2 linked regions of the Lepisosteus oculatus genome follow. The protein of the gene in region 1 interacts with the protein of each later gene in a pairwise test. Links are inferred from orthologs where the notes say so. Each region holds a gene or a part of one and is shown on either strand. Other genes may lie near its edges.

Region 1 (11,128 bases):
ATGCATTTGATGGAAAATTGATCTATTTCTGCTCTATACCAGTAGGTACTGGAGAGATGTTAGGCATTTTGAAAATTTCACTCAAACGGATCTAATATGAGCATTAGCTTTCAGAACATTGCCGATATACCACTTTAATAATGGCCAAAAGTAAGTTAATATTAATAATGTTGAATTCTTACGAGAAAACAGTAACGTTACTTACAAATCGCTATTAAAAAGACCACGTATAGTACTGTATATAAACAGTTCACACTCAAGGACCCTACTAATATTAACCGGTAATTTAAGAAAAACACCCCTCGTATAGCCCTGACCCAGGTGGAGAGGAATCACAGCAGCTGAACGCTTGTATAAGCTGATATCGTCGGGACCAGAAATTGTCAAAACGTCGTTAAACGAGCCTGCCCTTGTAGTCACATCACCCATGTCACTACATTCTACAACGCTGCCGGGGAAAGACAAAGACCGATTCCTGGCACTTAAGCCCCTTCCCTACCACCAGCGCTTAAGAAATAGCAGTCTTACCTAGTAATGGCGATGTCTGCTTTTCGATTGATGCTTTTTTTGATGAGGATTTTGCCAAAATTGGCAATGTGTTAATTTCGTCTGCCAGGTTCCACTGTCTTTAACAGCGCCGCTTACAATTTCTCTCTCGCACTTTGCAACTCTACCAGAAACGCTGGGTGTGGGAGACATGGGTGCCACTTAAAGATGCAATGGCATTTTTTGATGAGCGCGTATATGCGTGCGACTAAGTATGTTTGTGTGTGATGTACATGTGTTGTTCAAAGGCAAGACTGAGCTGCTCCTTTCAACACGGATGAGTGAAAGATGGTTTTGTTTTTTTTACCCCAAATCCGTCTTTCGTCTCTATCACCTGAATTTCACAATTGCTGATCAGACCAGTGCTGGTGTGGGAAAAAAACATACTCCTACCGAAGAAATGTGAAGTTTGCAAAATTTACATTTTTGTGTTCATTTTGTGTCTGTCCACATGAGAAAAACAACTAGCTAAGGACCACACTGTTTTTACTTGTTTCTTTTTTGTTGATTAACCCACAGCTACAGATGTGCTATGTGTTTATAATAATTGTCCCCTAAGGGACAATAAAAGTTTATCTTTATCTTATCTTTTTGGTGAGTTATAAGTACATTAGCAGCTGTGCCCACGTGTGTAGTGATGTGCCTTGTGGATGGAAGACTTAAATGTTTGCACAATCCAACTTATGATCTATACATTTGAACATTTTAGCCCCAGGAACACAAAAAAGCTACATGACTGAAGATACTGCATGCATCCTTAAAGATCTGCAACTCCCTGTATCTTGAATAGTGCTGGTAATGTCTTACAGGGCCTTCAGACGTATCTCAGAATGTAAATACAATCTGACAGATTTTGAGCCAATAAACATGTCCGTATCCTCAAACTACATTCAGCTGAGAATAGATTCCTGATATTGTAGTTAACAGGGTTCTTAACCACAACAAAGCCCCATGAAGTGGAGGATGAGCTGCCACACAGTTGCAGAGATGCTGTGCAGTGGGTCCTTGAAAGTGTGGGAGTGCTGTTTCTTTAAAGGGAGGCAGTGGAAATGGGTGATGAAAACCAATGGCCCTGATCACCACTCTGCAGAGCTGGTACAAAATATGGAACCAATATCCTCTGCAAGGTTGCCATGGAGATGTGCTGAGACTGTGAGAGAGTCATATTGCTTCCTCATCATCCATTAAACAATGAAAGAGGGCGGGGTATGAGAGGCAGCACGAGAGCCGCACAAAGGTAGATTCACACTCTCCTGCACCACATGAAAGTCAAAATCTCTTGAAAGGCTTTACCCAGGATGGAAGCCAAACTGGCTAAAATTACACATTGAATGCCAATTTACTGTACTGTATGAACTATATGTTACACGTTCATGATTTTTGTGTGTGGCAATTTAGGGTGGTCTTCAAGTCACTCTTGCATTTGTAGTTTCACATAGTGTGTGAGGCTGAATGTCAAAAATTGTAATCTGTGAAGCAAAACTAATCTATGGTCAATAAATACTTAACATACTTAGGTGGGTACACTAGGATATGTGATTACATTCTTAAGACCTGCTTGCAGGATCAGATTTAAGCAGCTGTCACAAACAGCTACACTGACAGCTGTGTCATTTCTAAGGGAGCTATTTATAGCAGAGCAGTAGTACAGTATATTGTCATACAAGCCTACTACAATTATTTTAGGTTATTAGTTACATGCTATGGGACTCATTAACAAAACACTGACAAGACATATAAAACTGTTTGACTGCAGGAATGTGCATGTCTTAATCTCTAAAGTAAAGAAACTGCTTATTACTTGTTCAACTGCTTGTAACCTCAGGCGAATGTTATAGGGAAGGAATCTTTTTCCTTTTTTTTCAATTTCTGTAGGGGTGTAACCTCATGGAGGAACTACTGTATCGTGTCAAGTGACTGTTTCCCAGTAAGTTAAAAACTATAATAACAGTCGGACGTGTTGTTTCTCAAACCACCACCTGAACGCTTTGGGGGGAATGCTTCTTCCTTCAAAAATAAACTAATAGGCATTTATGCACAATGCACATTTTCAATTGGCCAGGTAAGGCTTTCATTCCTGCATGGGATGCTTCTGCTTCAAGGAGAACGAAATTCATGCAGCACAATTAGCTAGAAACATTTTAGATTTCCAAGGAAACTGATCAAATAACTTCACTTAGCACTTATTTGCATTTGGACTGCTGAAAATCATGTCTGGTTTGCCTTTACATATCAGCTCTACACTGAGAATTTCTGGTAAAGAAAAATAAGAAAGCATTCCCTGTATGCATTTTGTTTTCAAAAAGAGTACAAGCCTTATGTTTATTGTCCATCCTAAATCATTTAAACCTAACCCCAAGCTTTGTACTGCCTTCATACCCAGTACAGAAAAAATACTCAGAGACATACAAGAACCTAGCTCTTATTCTGCAAATGCTTTACAATGCAATTATATTAGTTTTCTTGCAAGTAACATAATGCCTATTAATTCACCACTACTGCTTTTACTTCTCCTACTACTAATAAAAATAAACCTCGGAATTTCCTCAAATGAATCACATCAGCGCGTGTGTATCTCGCCAGTAGGGAGCAGTAGAGGGTCTTGTTAAGGAAATGCTAAAATGCGGCGCGCTGGGCTGCTGAAGTGCTGACTCACTGAGGCCAGCAGGGACACCTGGGAGAAATACAGGAAGCAGCGCAGGCAGGAGAGGTCATAGCCGGCTGGGAAGCCGCTCATTCCTGAAGCCGGCTCGGCCCCTTTCCTAGGCAGCCAATGAATCAGCTTTTCGGAAGCAGGACAGAAGATTCCAGCTGATCTATTACGATACAGGCATGATTTTCAAACAATCCCTTTTACTTTACTGAAGAGACTCCCCATTTGCATTTTGAGTTATAACATATCACTGTTACATGCACATTGCATACAATGTGTGTCACTGTGTAAGTTACTGTCTTTAGAAGTGAATATCTGCTTTCCACCCTGGGCATGAGCTCTCAGAATTCAATGCTCTTCTGCAGAAAGGAATATAGAACTAATTTAATACACAGATACAGTGAACTGCAATGGAGCAGAATCAGTTGCACAACCAGTGCAGCATATCATAGTAGAAACATCATTAAAATGGCATTTAGTCATATCTAACCATTACTGTATAATTATCCTTTTCCAAAAGAAAATGCTTCACCCTGTTTGGATTTGCTGGAGAATAAAGTACTTAAAGTTAATATCATTCGGACCGTGATATTAACTATGATATCAGGCAAAATAAGGATCAGAACTACATATACTGATATGGTGTTACATTTCAGATCACAGTGGTGCTATCCGATAAACTCATCTGAGCCCCTTTCTCCTTCCCCTTGTGCCTCCCATTCTCCTTACCTTTTCTAACCTGCCTCTCCTTCTCTTTCCTGACTTTATTCTCTGTTCTTTTTTTCCTTCAATCTGTGTCCATAATTCTGTTTCTTTCTCTGTCTGATTCTGTTTTCCCCCACCCCTCCTCTCTCTCTCTCTCTCTCTCTCTCTGGATTATTGCCCAGATAGAGCTGATTGCTGCAGTGCAGTGTCATTCCCTGGAGAATAAGTGGATGTGTGGGATATCTCCTGTTCTCCTGCTCATTTTGAAAACAACAACAATAATAATAATCACTCTTTCTCCCACTTTATCTTTTTTTTAATTTCCCAGAGACATTTGTTGAGTATATTTGCTTTGACCTTGAGAAAGTAAAGCTCTGCCGGCCGTGTAGCAAACAACACGCTTGGATGAAAACTGCTTAAACTCAGGTTACACGTTGGTTGCTAGCTTTGTGTGTATGCTGTATACATAGACCCTCATGCCTTTAAACAAAAGAGCAAAAGTGATTCAGAACATTCTTCATTGTAAAACAGTCTGGCTGAACGTTTGTCTACATTCTAGGCTCTTCAGATGTTGAATACAAATGAGGGGAACCGAACGAGTGCCGACTCATCTCTGCAATAACTTAACATCAGTAGAGACAAGATGATTTCAGGATGAGATTTATTGCTTCTTAATAATTAAACAACATGAATCATGGATGTCACAATGGCCCAAGAGTGTGACATTGAGAACCACACTTCCCAAGCTAAAAGTGGGGTCATTAAGGTTGCTGCCATTGTAGATGTGTTACAACAGACTTTGAGGCCAGTTATTAACGTAGAACCTGTTTCGAAGGGATATACTGTAGTTAGAGGCAGAATATACCCACGTGAAGAGGTAACCGGAAGTATACTGAAGCTACACGTAATTGTATCTTCTTGTGAAAGTATTTTTCTATTTTTACCTTCTGAGAAATGACCGTTGATGACTCTACTCAGATGATGACACGGCTCGTATTTACTTATGCGAGACGGAGGCCTCGTGATTTCGGTGTGTATTCTGCACCGCCCAGGTGTCTCTGACATATTCCATACTTACCGACACCCGCATAAACAGAAACAGATTGAAGTAAAGGCACAGAGCTGACATCAGCAACACGGATAATGAAAACGATCTCTCCAACACTGTCAGGGGTTGTTTAAAAAATAATTTAAATAAACCCCAGCGCAAGAACTAATGAAAGCCGGCCACAGCCCCGTCTGATAACCCTACTGGGAGTGAGAGTTTGGCGTATTTCGAGAGCTGTGTCAGCATTTCTCACAGTGTGCTGTCAACAGTAGCTCTGATGCCCGACACAGAGGGTCTGTAGCCTACAAGGTCACGCTTTGGGTAAAGGAAACGTGTGCCAGGCTCTTTAAGTGCTGTTCTATGGTCTACTGGCGCTGTCCTTTAGCAAACCTAGACACAGCTGTTATTTGTTTACAGTACCTCCCCCACTGTGTATGCCTCTATGGCTTTAAATATGATAGTTCTATTTGTGCCGTGAGTGTCTTAATAAAAATATATGAATCCTCGCATTAAGAGTGGTTTATCTAAAGTGATTTGAGAGGAAATAACATTTTACATTGAACAAAAACAATTTTACGGGAACAAATCATTTCGAAAGATCCATGGGCAGCAAGCTAGGGTTACAGGAATAAAATTAGAATATGAATAACAAAATTTGGTTGATTTGAGTTAGCATAAATTGCTCCAATTCCTAACTGCGGATGAATTTGATCCTTACAACCTAAACGTCATAAATTTGTCATTTAAGCGCAGACCACGACACGCGGATGCAATCAATATGTTGTATTGGAAGACGTGGGTTTACTAGTGTTACGAGGAACCGCCCTCTGTGCACGTCTATTGGATGACCGTGACATCAAACATCCGCATGCGCCAGTAGCCAATCACAAACGAGCAAATGGCTCTTTAAATGTGCAGTGCGCCCCTCCCACCGGGACCTCCCCTAGTTTTCCGTCTCGCGGAGAGCTCGTGGCAGCAGTTGTCATGGAGATGGAAGAGGGGCCGGCGTCGGCTCTAGGTGCTGTTGCCATGGAGATGGCGCGGGCTGCGGCAGAGAAGGACGAAAGCGGTGCGCATCTGGGACTCCAGGAGCTGCAGGAGCCGCTTCAGCACCAAGGACAGCAGCAGCGAGCGGCGTCACTGTTCTGCCAGGGGAAGTATTACATGCTGATCGTAATCGGGGAAGTCGCAACAGAAAACCAGCTCCGAGCCGTCAGAGAACATACCGAACTGGGTGAGTCTGCAGGAATGCCCTCGAGTTTTATCGCGCTGCACCGCTCTATGCGCAAGTGTGCTGGAAAGGGTGTCGGGGCTGCAAAACATACCAGGAAGAAGAATCAAGTTGACGCAACGTTAGCCGAGGGAACACGTGAAGGCAGATCCTTGGGTTATAAAGTCTAACTTTCACCAAGTTCAAGTTTTTGCAATGATGAGAGAGGGCTAAGTTTAGCTGGTTTAGGCATCTGGTGCAGAAGAAACAAGAGAAACTCAAGTCAGTGAAGTCTCCAGGGTTTTCTGAATTCCGACAGATTCTAAGCAATTGGAAAAAAAAAGCCATATTTTATCCTGGTCTACCATATCACGCCTTGTTTTTTAAAAAAAGAAAATGTAATGCAATAATAACTTATTTAATACAGCCCAACCCTGTTAGCCCTGTAGAGGCAGAATCTCCAGAAAGTTAATTCATTTCTAACATTCCCGATTGTTTCCAAACTGTAAATCAAACTGTCTTCAAGATTCAAGATTTTTTATTTGCCATATACAACAAGTGTATTGGAATACTTACTCGTTCAGCTGTACCCAGTAACAGTAGAGAAGGAAAAACAGGCAGACATGACAAACAGACATGGACAATAAATTTAGACAACAGACGTTATAATACAGCCAAGACAGGACATAGTGCAAACAGTGCAGTACCTAAAAGCGCAGGTGGTAATTTGAGCTGTTTATGATACGGACTGCTTGGGGAAGGAAACTGTTTTTGAATCTATTGGTCAGTGTTCTGATACTGCGATACCTCCTACCAGAACCCAGGGGTGAAAACAGACCGTGGCCAGGGTGAACTGGGTCCCGAAGTATACAGTAGCTCAAGCTCGGTTGTGGCAGCGGTCGAGATATATCCGGTCGATGGAGGGTAGCTCGGTCCCAGTGATTTTCTGCGCGGACCTCACAACCCTCTGTATGGCTATTCCGTCCTGTACTGTGGCTCCACCTTTCCAAACCGTAATACCACCGGTCAGGACTGCTAGCAACGTCTGGATTTGATATACAGCAAGACTGAGGACATAGGTAACCAGACGATTCCACTACCTTAACATTCTCACGAGATCACGGATAAAAACAACGCTTACAAACGGGTAAACAAAATGCCAATGACGCATCCGTTAGGATGAATTCACGTGAAGCAGAAACGATTTAAAATACTTCGTAAGGCACCGAAAAGTTCCCCAGTTCTGCCTCCAGTTCTTCAGTTCTGCCTTCGGTGTGGAGGAAAACATCGCAGAGCAAGGGAGCTGATATCCCTGCGCAGACTTCATAACCAATTCACATTGCGACGCCAGCCGTCAGTCGAAAAAATTCAAAGGCCGAGAAACAATCCCTAAAGGCCCAGTGCTTAATAAACAAATAATACCGCTGACAGCAGAAATATATAAAAAAATATTTATATTTATATAATATTGCGGAGAGGCAGCAGTCCACTTTGCACTGTTTGGAGTGATGAAATGTTTAAGGATGGGGAGGGTTCCACTGACTCCATGCTCATTTACATTTCACCGCTCATAAAGGCTTTCCGGTACCACAAACCAAACAATCCACTTAAAAAGCAGGGAAAAAAAGAACGAAAACATAAGAAACGAAAGTCGAGACAACGGAAACGCAAGTTTCCTATAATAGGAAAATATGAGAGCCTAGTGACATACTGTATGTCCCTGCTTTGCTTGGTAAGTCTATTATGTATACAGTATATTGTCTGTTATTTATATAATAAAATATGATGCCCTTACCATTTTTCTCCTGCAGAAGGTTTACACTGAATAGGTTTCTGAGTTCATTTCAGCAGATGTAAGTCATGCAAGAACTCACCTAAAGCAACATTAGAATGATAAATATTCAAGTCTGAATCGCATATCATCAGAAAAAAAGCACTATTGGCAGTGTAAAGCAACACTGTATTGTAGGCCTACATTCAACAACACATAAGAACAGTTTTGGCATGCAAACAGGAAACTTAATTTAACTTAAAAACTTAAGGAACTTAATTAAAACGAAAAAAAACCCTTTTAATTAATGTACAAACATTGTTGGTACCAGCGGGGCATTGACACTTCATTTGAAACATGCAGTCTTTGTTTCTTTGTAAGGTCAACACACAGGCCTCACTGTTGTCTGTACGACGATGCTGTAAAAATCACTCAAGGAATATAGAGTCAATTTATGAAATTCCCAGATTTTCAAAACACAGCGTACAAATGAAAATCATTATTTTAAGACATCCAAATAAAGTGCTTCTTATAGTATGTACAATAAGTTGTGATTGCATACACTGGTTACAGTAAATAAATGACTCGTTATTTATAGGTCTTGCTATTGTCTGACAGAAACAGCATTTTATTTTACAGTATGGAGAACCAAATATTTGTGTTAATTTTTCAAACATAATTTAATTCATTATAGTTGTAGCACCAGGTGTTATTATTTAAACAAAATAGAATAAATATAGGATAAAAAATAGGAACATTGCTAAGAACGTTGATAAATGGCACTGATTAACACATTTTATAATATTATCAACAATTCAGCGATTCCTGTTCCAGTGTCTCTGTTGCAAAAAAGCTCTGTGTTTCTAGAAATACCTTTAGTTTGCAGCTTGAATCTTTTTATAACGTTCTGTAGAACTCTATAAGTGTTTTAGAGGTTGAAAAACCTAACAATGCAAAACAAAAACAATGGGATGAATTAAAGAAAGAAAAATAATAATAATAATAATAATTGCTTACACTTATATAGCGCTTTTCTGGACACTCCACTCAAAGCGCTTTACAGGTAATGGGGACTCCCCTCCACCACCACCAATGTGCAGCATCCACCTGGATGATGCGACGGCAGCCATAGTGCGCCAGAACGCTCACCACACATCAGCTATCAGTGGGGAGGAGAGCAGAGTAATGTAGCCAATTCATAGAGGGGGATTATTAGGAGGCCATGATTAGTAAGGGCCAATTGGAAATTTTGGCCAGGACACCGGGGTTACACCCCTACTCTTTTCGAGAAGCACCCTGGGATTTTTAATGACCACAGAGAGTCAGGACCTCGGTTTTACGTCTCATCCGAAGGACGGCGCCTGTTTACAGTATAGTGTCCCCGTCACTATACTGGGGCATTAGGACCCACATGGACCGCAGGGTGAGCGCCCCCCGCTGGCCCCACTAACACCTCTTCCAGCAGCAACCTTAGTTTTTCCCAGGAGGTCTCCCATCCCGGTACTGACCAGGCTCACACCTGCTTAGCTTCAGTGGGTTGCCAGTTGTGAGTTGCAGGGTGATATGGCTGCTGGTCATATCATAAAAAAAACTATTTTTTTATTTTTATAAAAAAATAGTTTTTATAAAAGCTGTATAAAAGTAGTAATATCAACATAACCTCTGCAATATATTATAATATATAACACTAATTAAAACAAAGCAATAGTAATATTTAATTACTAAATGATGAAAAGCTTAGTATTTCTGTTAATACGGGGATCAGAGACACCTTAAACTGTGCACAATAGAAAGACATTCACGCAAGAGAAATGGCTATGATACCAAAATATATAATAAGATCAATTCCTCTTTTTAACGGTTGTGAACTCGAGACACTTAAGTTTCCAGAACATTTTTATGATTTATAGTAAGCTTCTTGGTGCCTGGATAGTGATAAGCAAGAAAGTCCAATCTTCAAGGCCTCGGTACTTTATTTGTAATCAGGAAGATCTTCAATCAATATAAGGGGCTCATTTGATATGAGTAAATAAATATAGACAGGTAGATTAGATTTATAACAAATTCAAGCTATTTATGGTGTAGTTTGCAATTCCAATTTGGAAAACGTGGTCCTGTCTTGAAGTTGTATGAATAACAACTGCAATATATTTGACCTTCAGGCATCTGTGTGATTTATTGCCCTAGGAGAATGCTCCGTAAAGATTTTGTTATGGAATTTCTTTAGCAGGAATTACCTGGGAGGGAGGAGAAAGTGTAAAGACAGGAAGAAATGGTTAGAAGGCAGGTAAACTGTGCCGTGGTGTGGATGCCGGTGGTGTTGTCTTATAAACACGGTGGCATGACTTTTGCTCTGCGGCAGTCTCCAGTCTCTGCAGTGGTGCCTGAGGCAGATGGGCAGTGCCGTGGTAGGGTTGCTGTGTTTGTCACACAATTGCTGAGGGACAGAAACCTCTCTGTATGCAATTCTGCCTTCACTGCGTACCTCGCCATGCCAGGAGCCTCAGGGTGATGGATCACTGTTCTGGCATCAGCCTCACTCCCACAAACTACTTGGAAGCACTCAGACTGGCGCCCTGTAATTTACAGCGTGACGGCTGTGCCAATGACAAACAACAACAACAATGGATTCATCTATGCCAGCGCAAACACAGCTTTATATCCTCACAGTCCTCGGGCATACCAGTAATCAAAAGATTGAGCTAATACCTGTTTATCTTTCAAAAAGGGGTTTATAATGTAGAGGCAAAGTCAGAGCTCAATCCAGGTCAAGTAAGATAAAATGTGAAGTATTATTCCCACTAATCAGACATAAAAAACAGTTACAGCCAATAAATCCATTTGTCACTTTCAAGCTGGTTTAATGCGTTAAGTAAAAGTGCTGGCTCCATATCCAGCTGTATTTGCCCAGCCTGCATTAAGATAATTCTATCAAGATTAAACTTCTGTGAAATATCAATTAATCTTAAATCAGATATGAACCCTTATCATTTTTAGTTTTGCCCCTGGTTTTGCTTTTCAGCCTATAATACTCCTTTCCTCAGGAATTTCAAAAACTCTCATACGAATTGTGCCTTTATCCAGGTCATAACTATGAAAGAAAGAACTAAGGTGACTGTGTTTTCTTTTTTGATGAAACCTTAAAGTTCTTCCCACCCACCAGGAAGCAAAGATTAGGGCCCAGAGAATTACCAG
Region 2 (11,197 bases), on another chromosome or scaffold:
ACATGACCTACAAAATGGGACTGACGATGGATGAACATCACAATGTTTATGATGCCTGCTTGGAAGACAACATTGATATTTGTTTGTCAGTTTACCTAAGGGATACATAAAACCCTCCATAACAGTGTTTAAAGAGGGATATGATCCTTGCACTTTTGAATATCCCCTATATGTTGTCTTTGTTTCAGCCCTGTTCAGTAAAGTACTGTAGGAATGAGGACTGCTTTGTAGACCATAAGTTTGGTTTCACACTGAGGGTATTTGAAGTTGTATTGATCTTTAAATACCCTCTTCCTCAGGGTGTGACATAATACAGGGGTGTGTTCGGTGTGGAGGCGGAGCCCTGGATTAAGGGCAGTGTCTTGCCTTAGCAACCACAGCAGCCCTGGCTAATTAAGGACGAGCCACAACTGTGGGAGCCCTTTAAAACCCACTGAACTCCTCCCCAGAAGGACGAAAATCTTCCAGCGACAGTCCAGGAAGGGAACTGTGACAAGAGCGTTTGAGGCTGCATTTTTCCTTCATTTTATTTTCTTTTTCTTTTCCCCTGTCCCGCTGTCCAGCTGTGTACTGTATCACCCAATCTAGAGAGTGCACTACATTCTTCATGGATTCATCTTCTGAATGTTAATTGTAAGTTCTTATGTGTATCAGGAAATACTGTATGTTGACAGCTGTTTGGATATCCACACTAGTTTCTGCCCAGTTTCCATCCTCGGGTGAATGTGACAATCATTACACTTCATCTTCAAATTACTGCTCTTAAAAGGCTTAGCATTTACAATTGTATGACTCCTGGGTGAGTCTAGAAATAAACTCCCCAGAAGCTCTCCAAACTCCAAACTCTGACTTTTGGGTTTTTCACAACAGTTGAGCAGTAATGTAATGCTGCAACTCTTACCTGACTGACAGCAGTGGTCAGAGGAAATGAGGTGGACCCTAGTGAAGATGAATTCAGGCAATAAGGCTGATGAGAGCAGGGAGGCAGGTGGGCAGACAGAGAGACATAATCCAAAGTCATAGTTGAAAGTGAAGCAAGGCTCGAAGCCAATAAGACTGGGCAAAAGAGCAAACAGCAAATCCATGTGTAGTTGTAGTAAACAAGTTAGGTTCATAGCTAGGAATAAGCACATGCATCTGAACCAAGGTCAAGACAGAGTCAAAACACCAGACAACACAGGCAAAGCAGAGGTGAACCAGAGACATACTCAGAAGCACAAGTGTAAAATGTAGCTGGGAGAAACAGGCAAAGCATGAGAGAAACTAAGCATTGAAACTAAAGTAAAAACTCAAACACTGAATGGGAATGTGACATGGAGACTGGTCTTAAATATTCTGCTAAATGAGGTAAGTGACTATCTCTTGGAACTGATCTTCTTCCTAATTGTTTTCATGACAACTGGCTGATTGGCTTCAGTAGAAACTCAACCGGTTTTCCGAGGTGTTTACAGTGCTTTGACCAGCGCTCCTGTGGGAGCTGGTGTGACAAGTAACATACGGATTTATAAAGACGGACAATGTTTTGCAACTCTTTGGCAAATTGCAGTGTTGGCGGTTTGCCGGGGCAACACAGATGCAGCTCTCCACATGGCTAAGGATGCCTCTCACTGTTTTGGAAAATACAGACTGAGACCACGACCAGTGAGTATCCCTTAAAAGTGTTGACTAATTTTGCTATGTAGTATGAAGTTCTCTCAGGATGGGAAGATACAGTACCTGTGGCTGCAAAGGCAATGCATTAACTCAGTGGTTCTCAAACTGTGGTACACGTACCGGCAGTGGTATGTGGCGTGCCGCCAGGTGGTACGCCAAATGACCCTGGAACTGTGTTGTGTGCGCTGAAAAAATCGGGACGGGTTTTCATATTTTGTACTTTTATACGTGTCGAATACGCAGCCTGCGTACTAGGATACAGTGCGCGCTAATACTTCAGTGGACACAAGAGATACTCTGTAATTCTATACCACTCTATAGGAAGGCGTGCTACGGACGCAAGTGACCAATTGTATTTAAAAAAAGCTACTGTATCTCCAGCAAACAGGGAGAAAGGAGAATGTGTGTGATTTTGGAACAATGCCAACGTTGTAAACACAGGAATGCATAGAATTGCGTACTACGAACGCAGGTAATTTTGTGAGCGCACGAAAGGGTGAAAAATAACAGAAAAATATTTAAGAACTGTTCTAAGTTAATTTGAGAAAAATACATCGAGCGTCTTTGTGTTTCTCTCCCATGCGCATGAAATAAATACTTAAAATAAACACTGAAATAAAAACGGAAACGTCGAAAATGCAAACTTGCAGATTACTAAAGCAGGTAAGCCCCACACTATTATGTGTGGAGAAAAAGCTGATGAACAGCCCGACCTGCTGCCCCCCCGAAAGACACAGTCATTCATAGAATTATTGAAATGAAGGATTATATCAAAAGTACACTGACAGAGCGCGTTAAGATGAGCAGATGTTTTTCACTGCAATTAGATGAGTCTGTAGTCGATTTGGCCAATTTGCTCGTTTACGTAAGATACGAGTTTGAGGGTACGTCCCGTGAGGACTTTCTGTTCTATAAGCCGCTACCAACAGGAACTACAGGAGAGCACATATTTCAGCTTCTGAATGAATTTATCGAAGAGAATGACATCGACTGGATAAAATGTGTCGGAGTTTGTACAGACGGTGCTAGAGCAATGACAAGCCGACACAGCGGTGTAGTTGCACGAATTAGAGAGGTTGCTCCAGAAATTAATGGTTTCATTGCAACATCCACCGCGAGACCTTTGCCGTCAAGAAAATGCCTGACGATTTAAAATCTGTTAGATTGCTTTGCTCAACTAAACAGGCTCACCCCTCTCACTGAAATGGTGCTTTTTTTATTTTTATGTGTTGTTTTTTTCTGTAAAACACTTTGAGAAGCCACATTTTAATATATCAAACAAAGTTTATTATTATAATATTTATTATATGTATGTGTGAGTGTGTGTGCACATGCGCTCATGTTGGTCATTGATAATTTCTGGGGTTCCTATGAGATGATGACTTGTAGGTGGTACTTGGATACTTTGGTTGGATTAGGGGTGGTACTTGGTCCAAAACGTTTGAGAACCACTGCATTAACTCATTTTTAAACTGTATAAGACCATTACCAAGGCATGGTTTTGCATCCTGACCAGATGCAAAAGATATGTTGGTCTTCTGAAAGTAGGAAAATTCATCAGGAAATCACCTTCACAAAAAGTATTGGCTCACTTAAAGCATGCTTCTTGTATGCTGTCAAAATTTCAGTCAATTATAAAGCCTTATAAGTTTGCAGGTTTAGCCAACTGCTTAATAGAGCTTTGTTGTGCTAAACTTCACTCTCCAGAAGATGGCAGCAAAACAAGGCCCTTCAGGATAATGATCATCGGATTTAATGGCCCAGGCATCTTCCTTATCTGCAATATTTGAAAATCACACACGAGTACACACTTAATAAGGCCCTATCTCCCTAGTGTGGTAAATGAGGAAAGACATGTGAGTTTATCCCTTGGGTTGGGAAACAACTGCTCTAGTGCATTTATCTTGTAAGATATAGCTGCAACATATAAAATCAATGTAAACAGAAGTGTAAATGAAATGGTTTTGCTTATTTGATTTTCTATTGGCACACTCTAAGGACATCAAAGTGCTGAGTTCGTACTCAGATTCGAAAAAAAATGTATATTTAATAAAATGTATGGATTGGAAGCCATCTAATAACGTGAGGACAAAAAATATTGTTTAAAAACTTCCTTGTGCCTTAGGAGTTTTCTCTGTGAGGATGACAGAAGGGTGTAGCTAAGCCGATCACTCATGACCTTTCACAGAGAGACGCTCCCAAACCACGACACTGGCAGGGACAGGAGGGAGGAAGTTTCTGTTTTCTTGTAAACACCTTCACATGAAACCTGAGAGAAAAACACTAGTGACAGCCTTAAAGGCAGATGACTTTTTCAAAAATATTTTCCTTTTCATCTTTTCTTTTCCAAGGTTGATCCTTAGGGGTACAAGCCCTGCCTTACAGGCTAAACCTCAGAGTGCAACATGTGATTGTTGTTAACTCAGCTCTTCAGCAGCCCAAGAAAAAACAATGCAGCATTGTGAGTAGTCCAACATGTTGAACTTTGAATTGACCTTTCAACCTCATGGCCTTAAAAGTGGAAAAGGTGTGTTATTTCAACATGTTGCTCCTTGCTGTCTGAGGGCACAGCATCCTTTTCAAACCTCACCAGAAGTCACGCAAGGGTTTGCTGAGTGAAAACTAAAATGAAATACTGTATAGACTAGAACTAGATTAAGATCCCTCCACTGTTTATGCTGTATTTTCAGTAGTGATGTCTGATTGTGAAACCCACACTTTAAGGAAATACATATTACTGAAATATAACACAGTTGATGCATGGAAGATTACACCATAATCAAAACTAATCAGAGTTAACACAAGTTTCTTTTCTGTTTTTATATTAAAAAATAATGTGGATATTAACTACTGAGAAATTCTAGAATTAGAAATACCAGTTGTTTTTAAACACTATATAAAAGAAGAAGGGTATTTTTGAAACTTGATAATCCACAGCGTTAAAAGCACCCCAGATTTCCCTGATTGAAAAAAGCTGTTTAAGTTTGGATTTTTTTTTTCAGGCTGTCATTGAACCTTACGTTTATGCTCTTTAATCAGTAAAACTATTCTGTTTCACAGAACTTATTGAGATGTGTGGCTCATGTTTTTTTTTTAATGAGCCTTCTGTCTTCTTTTAATTCTGATTATTCTCTATATAAATAAATAAAAAAAACCTTTGCCATTCACGTTAAGACAGAAGAAGCTCTCTAGGTATAATGGATGAGACATGAAGATTCATGAGGAATGTATGTATTAAGGAATGAATACTCTCCCCTCTATGCAAATCTCATTTCTGTGTTCTCATATTTATTTTCCTTTCACAGTTTATGTGAGAACTAGGCTTTTCGACCAAGTAGTGAAATCATCTTGTTTACCCTGATCAATGCTCCCCAATGTGAAATGAGTTGTTGTCACAGAACAGCTTCCATTTATTTGGAATCCATGGTATGGACTGTTGTATGAAACTGGTGTTACAACAGGCAATTATGATGTCATATCTTCCATTCTTTATCTAGTGTTGCATCCCTAACACCTTTTTACGGCAGAGGGTATTTTTAGAAACTAAATTCTTTCTCTCCGCCTCTTACTCATTGTTTTGTTCAGTTAAGACATATGAAATCCCACTGAAACTGAATTTCTGACTAAACACTAACAGAAATTAATACAATATTTTAAAATACAAATTATACAATGAAAGTAATAATGAAGGAATAAGAACACATTTACACATTACGTATGATATAAACCCATAGGTAGGACCAAATAAGAAAAAAAACCCAATATGTCACGTGGTCTATATAACACTACTCGAAATCAAACTGCAAAATATTTCTGTAATAATGTGTAGTAATGGGAAACACCTTTTTGAACGTTTGAATTGAGCAAAGGAAAGGTTTCCACAAGGTGTCACTATTTCCTCATTTCAATTAAAAAATGAACTTGCGCTAGTGCTCAGCTGCAGTACAGTTTATCTTGGAAGTCCAAATAACGCGCGATGATGTAGCATAAATAATATATGCTGATTAGTTATTTTTGTTTGTTCACCGCCAATGAGATGAGTGAGACACGGAGATTAGGTTTTGTTCCCAATTTCTACAGAGCCCGTCTAGAGCTGAACCACGGCACGAATCTCAGTACTGTGTTTAATGGTGAAGAGGGGGTTGTGACTGTTCTTAATATTGACCTATTGCTGCTTACAGGCCGCAACTGTTGTTCAACGGGCAGGAGGGGAGGAGGAGTACAGGAGCTGAATATATCAAAGCCATTCCTTGATTTATTGTTATGCATTTTCATACATACATGTATCTAAGTTGTGTTTACAGCTAGTGAAGCCACTTCCACGTCTTTTACAACGATTCGGTTTTTTTTCCATTTTCAAATTCAAGGAAAAAAACGGTTCAAGTAAAACCGTTGCAAACAAAAAGAACAATTTAAGCAAATTTTACTTTTTATCTTTTAATTATCATCATTGAATTAAAAATATCTTAGACTATAAAGAGGCAAATAAATATAACGCAGTATCTTATCTAATTATGACTAGAACACGTTTTAAATCTTTTAACCAACATAGTTCAAACTTAGACTGAGGTTCCCATATTTTCTGTTGACTCTTTAAAACACTGCTAAAATAGCATTCAAATCTTCTATCATCTTACCAATACAATTCAATCAAACTTGCAAAAATTGAGAATCCTTTACCCCCACAAATCTTACACGATATGTAAAGCGTCGTGAGAAAAAAAAAACAATTAAGGCAAAGCGATAAGTGACGAATCACATTTCATTCAAACAGATGCATCAATCTTATGCTTTCCACTGACCACCACATATCCCCCCAGTCTGCTGCTCACGCCTGCGCAGACCCCGACATTGAGCTCATCCCCCGAACAGCGCGTGAATCCTCGTGGTGAGTAATTCATTCCTCCTAGGTCGGGCTAGTGAGGAGGCAGAACCAATCACGTCGGCCATCTAAAATGGTGACCTCACCTATCTCTCTCCCATTGGTTTGCTATATTAAGAAAGCAGTCCTAGTCTTTAAAACCGGGGGAAGTTGGTTTTTCAGCAGTGGCTGAAATAAGGCAGAAAGAGGTGGTGGTGGTGGAAGATTGCAGCGCTAGCTCCAGAAGTACAGTTGCCTTTACGTGTTGCAATAAGCTGATTTTCCGTTTGCACTCCGCTGATTGCTTCGTGTTTCACTCCGCGTGTAACCCGACAGCGTTGAGGAGAAAGAATGGCCGCTATTCGGAAAAAGCTGGTCGTAGTCGGAGACGGAGCTTGTGGGAAGACCTGCTTGCTGATCGTTTTCAGCAAAGACGAGTTCCCCGAGGTGTACGTGCCAACGGTGTTTGAGAACTACGTGGCCGACATTGAGGTGGACAGCAAGCAAGTGGAGCTGGCTCTGTGGGACACTGCCGGGCAGGAGGACTACGACCGCCTCCGCCCTCTCTCCTACCCCGACACCGATGTCATCCTGATGTGCTTCTCCGTGGACAGCCCGGACTCCCTGGAAAACATCCCCGAAAAATGGGTGCCGGAAGTGAAGCACTTCTGCCCCAACGTGCCCATCATCCTGGTGGCCAACAAGAAGGACCTGCGGAACGACGAGAACGTCCGGAACGAGCTGTCCAGGATGAAGCAGGAACCGGTGAAAACGGAGGACGGCAGAGCCATGGCGGTGCGCATCGGGGCTTACGACTACCTGGAGTGCTCTGCCAAAACCAAGGAAGGGGTGCGGGAGGTGTTCGAGACCGCCACCCGGGCCGCACTGCAGAAGAGATCCAGACCATCCGGGGGCTGTTTGAATTGCTGCAAGCTTTTGTGAACTGTGAAGGACAGTCGCTGCGTGACACGAACTGAAGGAAAAAAAAATCCCTTATTTTTTAAGCGGTAAAGGTTACGGGACAGGCACTCTCCAGTTAGTCTGGTGCCGAGATTTAACAAAAGAGGGGAAATAAACCTCAAGATGGGACTGAATGAGACTTGCCTTCTCTGCACTCGCGTGACCGAGGACTCCAGGGTGTCATGCGGAGCTTGACCCCTCGGCAGAACTTGCATTAAAGACCAGACTATTGACGTTTACTGTGATGGTCAGTTTTTGACGGTGGGTTTTGGGGGCGCTGTGCTAAGGCCAAAGCAACGTAGGTCTTGAAATCGGGGTGAAATGATCGGGTTTCTTTAGTGGCGGTGTCTAATCTGTGGGGAATTCTGTTTATTTTGTAAATCCGACCACCGTCAGTTGCATTAAGATTGAGACTGAGGGGGCGAGGATCCCCCCCCCCCCCCCCCCGGGAAGCAAATTGCATTCTGAAACCACTTTATAAAGAAATTGACATCTTAATAATCCCTAGTTAAAAAGGTGGAAATTAGGCTTTTTGAGGTGATTTTTTTTTTTTCCACCCACGAAGTGATTGCATTGTACCGTAAGCGAGAGGAGATGCCTGTCTGAAGAGAAAGCGAGCGGGTGTTACCTCTGTTGAAATGGTGGAGAGGGAGGGGGACTGCGGGGTTTTGTCCTGCAGGCTGATGATATAAAAAAATAACACCCCGCCTTCGCAAACAAGGTGCCTGCTTTGTTTCAGTCATGATGAAGTGGCTGCTTTTGCTGTTTTTTTTATACTGGATGTAAAGAAAGGAAGAAAAAAGGCGTCAGGTTTTGGAAAATGATAACCTTTTTTTATTTCTTGTTGCACAATAAGGTTTTCGATGCCACAGCAAGGCACTTAAACATCAGTATTGTAGCATTCTCCGAACTTCACACTCGTGTAACTTATTGTATGTTTGCTTCCCTGTTGCTCCGCTACTATAGTAATGCTACTAGCCTGATCCATTAAACCACAGTCGTTTGCGTATGAAAACCCGGCACCGTTTACTTTGGGATGATGTATATTTCATTGTTGCACTGTGGCCGATTTCAAGGGCTTGTGCTTCTGAGAAAATGTAAAAAAAAATTCAGTGGCGGCACTGGTCTTTGTGTAAAAAATATTGTATTTCTTTCTCTGCTACAGAGGAAGCTAAAAAGTCTGTTTTGTTGTATGATAATATTTTTGTACGTCTTTAAAGCAGTGGTACAAAGGATGTTTGTCTTTGTTTAAAACTAACTGAAAAACTGAAGTTCCAAGACGTATGAGATGTTTACATGAATTCATATTGACATAAGCTGTGTATACAGTTTTTACGAAAGAAATATTAAAAGTTAAACGTTTAATTTAAAATTTCTTCCTTTTTGTTTTTAAACTTTATTTAATGACGCTTCACCTTTTATATCTCTGAATACAAATGTCAATCACAGTGAATGGAAACAGACTACTATTTAAAAAAACGATTTCCTTTAGTTTAATTCGGTATGGGCGTTAGTATTGTAACACTCAAGAGAATCGCGCTCTCAATTCAGAAAGCCGAATCGATTACGATTTAAAGGGTCTTTGTCTCTCAGGGTGGGGTCACTTCTCACTAACGATTCGAGCTTCTTCTGGGTCTTAGTGCTGTAAATTCCATTGCATTTTGAAGTCGGGCATACGTAAAGTCAGTTCATGATTGTCAGCATTTTGTAATTCTATAACAAACAGCCGCACAAGATGAACAATTGGTACCGAGTACAGACGCTGCTTTTTTTTTTAATGGTTTCAATCCCAGTATGGTATTTTTCTCCCCTTTGCTTTCCCCTTGGCTGTTGTGTGTCTGTGCTTTTCATGCCTTGAGGGAACAGTTTTTGTTAGCATTAAGGGAGAGCTCGCTAGATTGTAGTGTGTGGAGTCCGTATTCATCTTCCCTTACTCAGACGTAAGATGCTATTTTACACCTAAAAAATCTGGTTTTGATTGCCTGACATGTCTCCCGTTTTCAATTCTGAAATTTACAAAGCTTGTTGGCTATTTGCTTTTCATATGGCACATAAAAAGCCACTCCTTTATGAAGTTGTCTGGATTAGTAACCATCCATATTCAGTAGCTGCTAGATTTAATACTGGGTTCTGCGAGTTGGATCCTAACCAGGTTCAGTGTGAGTACAAGACTGATACACTTTGGGTGGGACACCAGTTCATTACAGTTAATATTTGCTACTCATTAATATAAAATGGCTTTTATGCACAGGAGTGCAGGCATATTTAATGTATAATATAGTGAATTCCATTGTACGGCAAGAGTGCTCAGTGGGAATTCTGTTGTTAAAGTGTCTAAATTAAATCCTAATTAAAAATATTTGCTGTTTTGAACAAGGGCAATCTAGTGTATGAGAAAAATACACCCAATATTATATGAAAATGCTATTTCTGACACTTCTGGAGTGCAAAATTCTCTTGTTTTTTTTTCTCTAGGCCAATCATACTTCGTTGGAACAGCTGTGGGAATCATTCCGGTCTGAGTGGGCTTAGACAGGGGAGGAAATAAATCCTTTCCCATGAACTTTGTTCTAGCCGTTGTTACAGAGGGGAAACATTAGTAGGCAGGCAGACTAGGCCTTTGCAGTGTCTTTGCTGCTGGGAACCCAAGACCAGTGTGTTAATCTGCATTATATGGGTTAAAGACTATTGCCCATTGGCCTTTGTGTTGGAATGCAAAACACTTAAGTGAATTTGCTCAAGTTCAGCTTTCAGTTAGTATAATAAATGTCTGAAGCTCACATTGTGGCTCACTAATTATTCCTGTTAATTTTTCTCCTGGTTTGGTATGCTTTTCCTGGCAGTAATCTCCATAATCCTTTAACAAACATGCTGTAGCACTTGGATGTATAGGCAGTGCCAATCAGAACATGGTGTTTGTGATTTCATAAATGTTTTGGAAATGGAAATCACCTGGTCATTGAAAGTCACTTCATGCCATTATAAAAGGACTCTTAATTTGGCTTTGTATCACCAATTTAATTAATATTTCCTCATTCTTTTCTGTAGTATATCCTGATGTTAATATCTTGAAGACTAGGGTAGGGAAAAAATCCCAGAGGCCTTGTTTTTACAAAAATTCTTCCAAACAATTTTGAATATTAAATATTTTCCCTTTAGCACTGGGTTGTACTGATTGTTTTTTTTTTTAATTTGGATTTTTCATTAGAAATTTTTCAAAGGTAAATAAGTCAAATGTTTTATGTGGTAATCTTGCATTAAACTAATGTGAATAGATCCAGTATCATAATGGATTACTTTGAAAAGAGGCCAGGAAAGAAATATGTAAAACAAATAAAATATTGCTTCCAAAAATAAATATACTGCTTCCATTGTTTATTTTAAGACATTTACTTTTTGCTGGGTACCTGCAGTGTTTATGAGTATTTATTACATCTCTTCTGCTAATTATGTAGTTCCAGACGCTGCATTCAAACAAATTTTTCTATATATGGTCTTAATCCTGTTCGGAATTGGTGGAATAAATCAGATTTTGCTGCTTAATGATTTGTGAACAAGCAAAGAAATGAGTGTAATTTTATGTGATAATCAATGTTTTGCTTCATCAGAAAAGGTTCTTGCGATAGTTTGTGCAGAAAATGGAATAGCTCTTGCTTAACTGGTGTTTTCTATCAAGAGATGCTTTAGCAACGCAGATCTCAGTCAATCACAAAGCATTGTCAG

What was found.
Region 2: the proteins of map1aa (region 1) and rho-related GTP-binding protein RhoB interact in a two-hybrid assay, tested with the Homo sapiens proteins (2 studies listed by BioGRID and IntAct). The link is inferred for Lepisosteus oculatus from reciprocal best matches to the Homo sapiens genes MAP1A and RHOB.

Annotation. Positions count from the first base shown.
Region 1 is NC_090700.1:49,654,153-49,665,280, forward strand, and holds the start of map1aa (microtubule-associated protein 1A), read left to right. Parts: upstream 1-5,850; 5' UTR 5,851-5,936; coding exon 5,937-6,186; intron 6,187-11,128. UniProt on the Homo sapiens protein: Structural protein involved in the filamentous cross-bridging between microtubules and other skeletal elements.
Region 2 is NC_090697.1:25,686,119-25,697,315, reverse strand, and holds rho-related GTP-binding protein RhoB, read left to right. Parts: upstream 1-6,663; 5' UTR 6,664-6,865; coding exon 6,866-7,456; 3' UTR 7,457-10,832; downstream 10,833-11,197. UniProt on the Homo sapiens protein: Mediates apoptosis in neoplastically transformed cells after DNA damage. Not essential for development but affects cell adhesion and growth factor signaling in transformed cells. Plays a negative role in tumorigenesis as deletion causes tumor formation.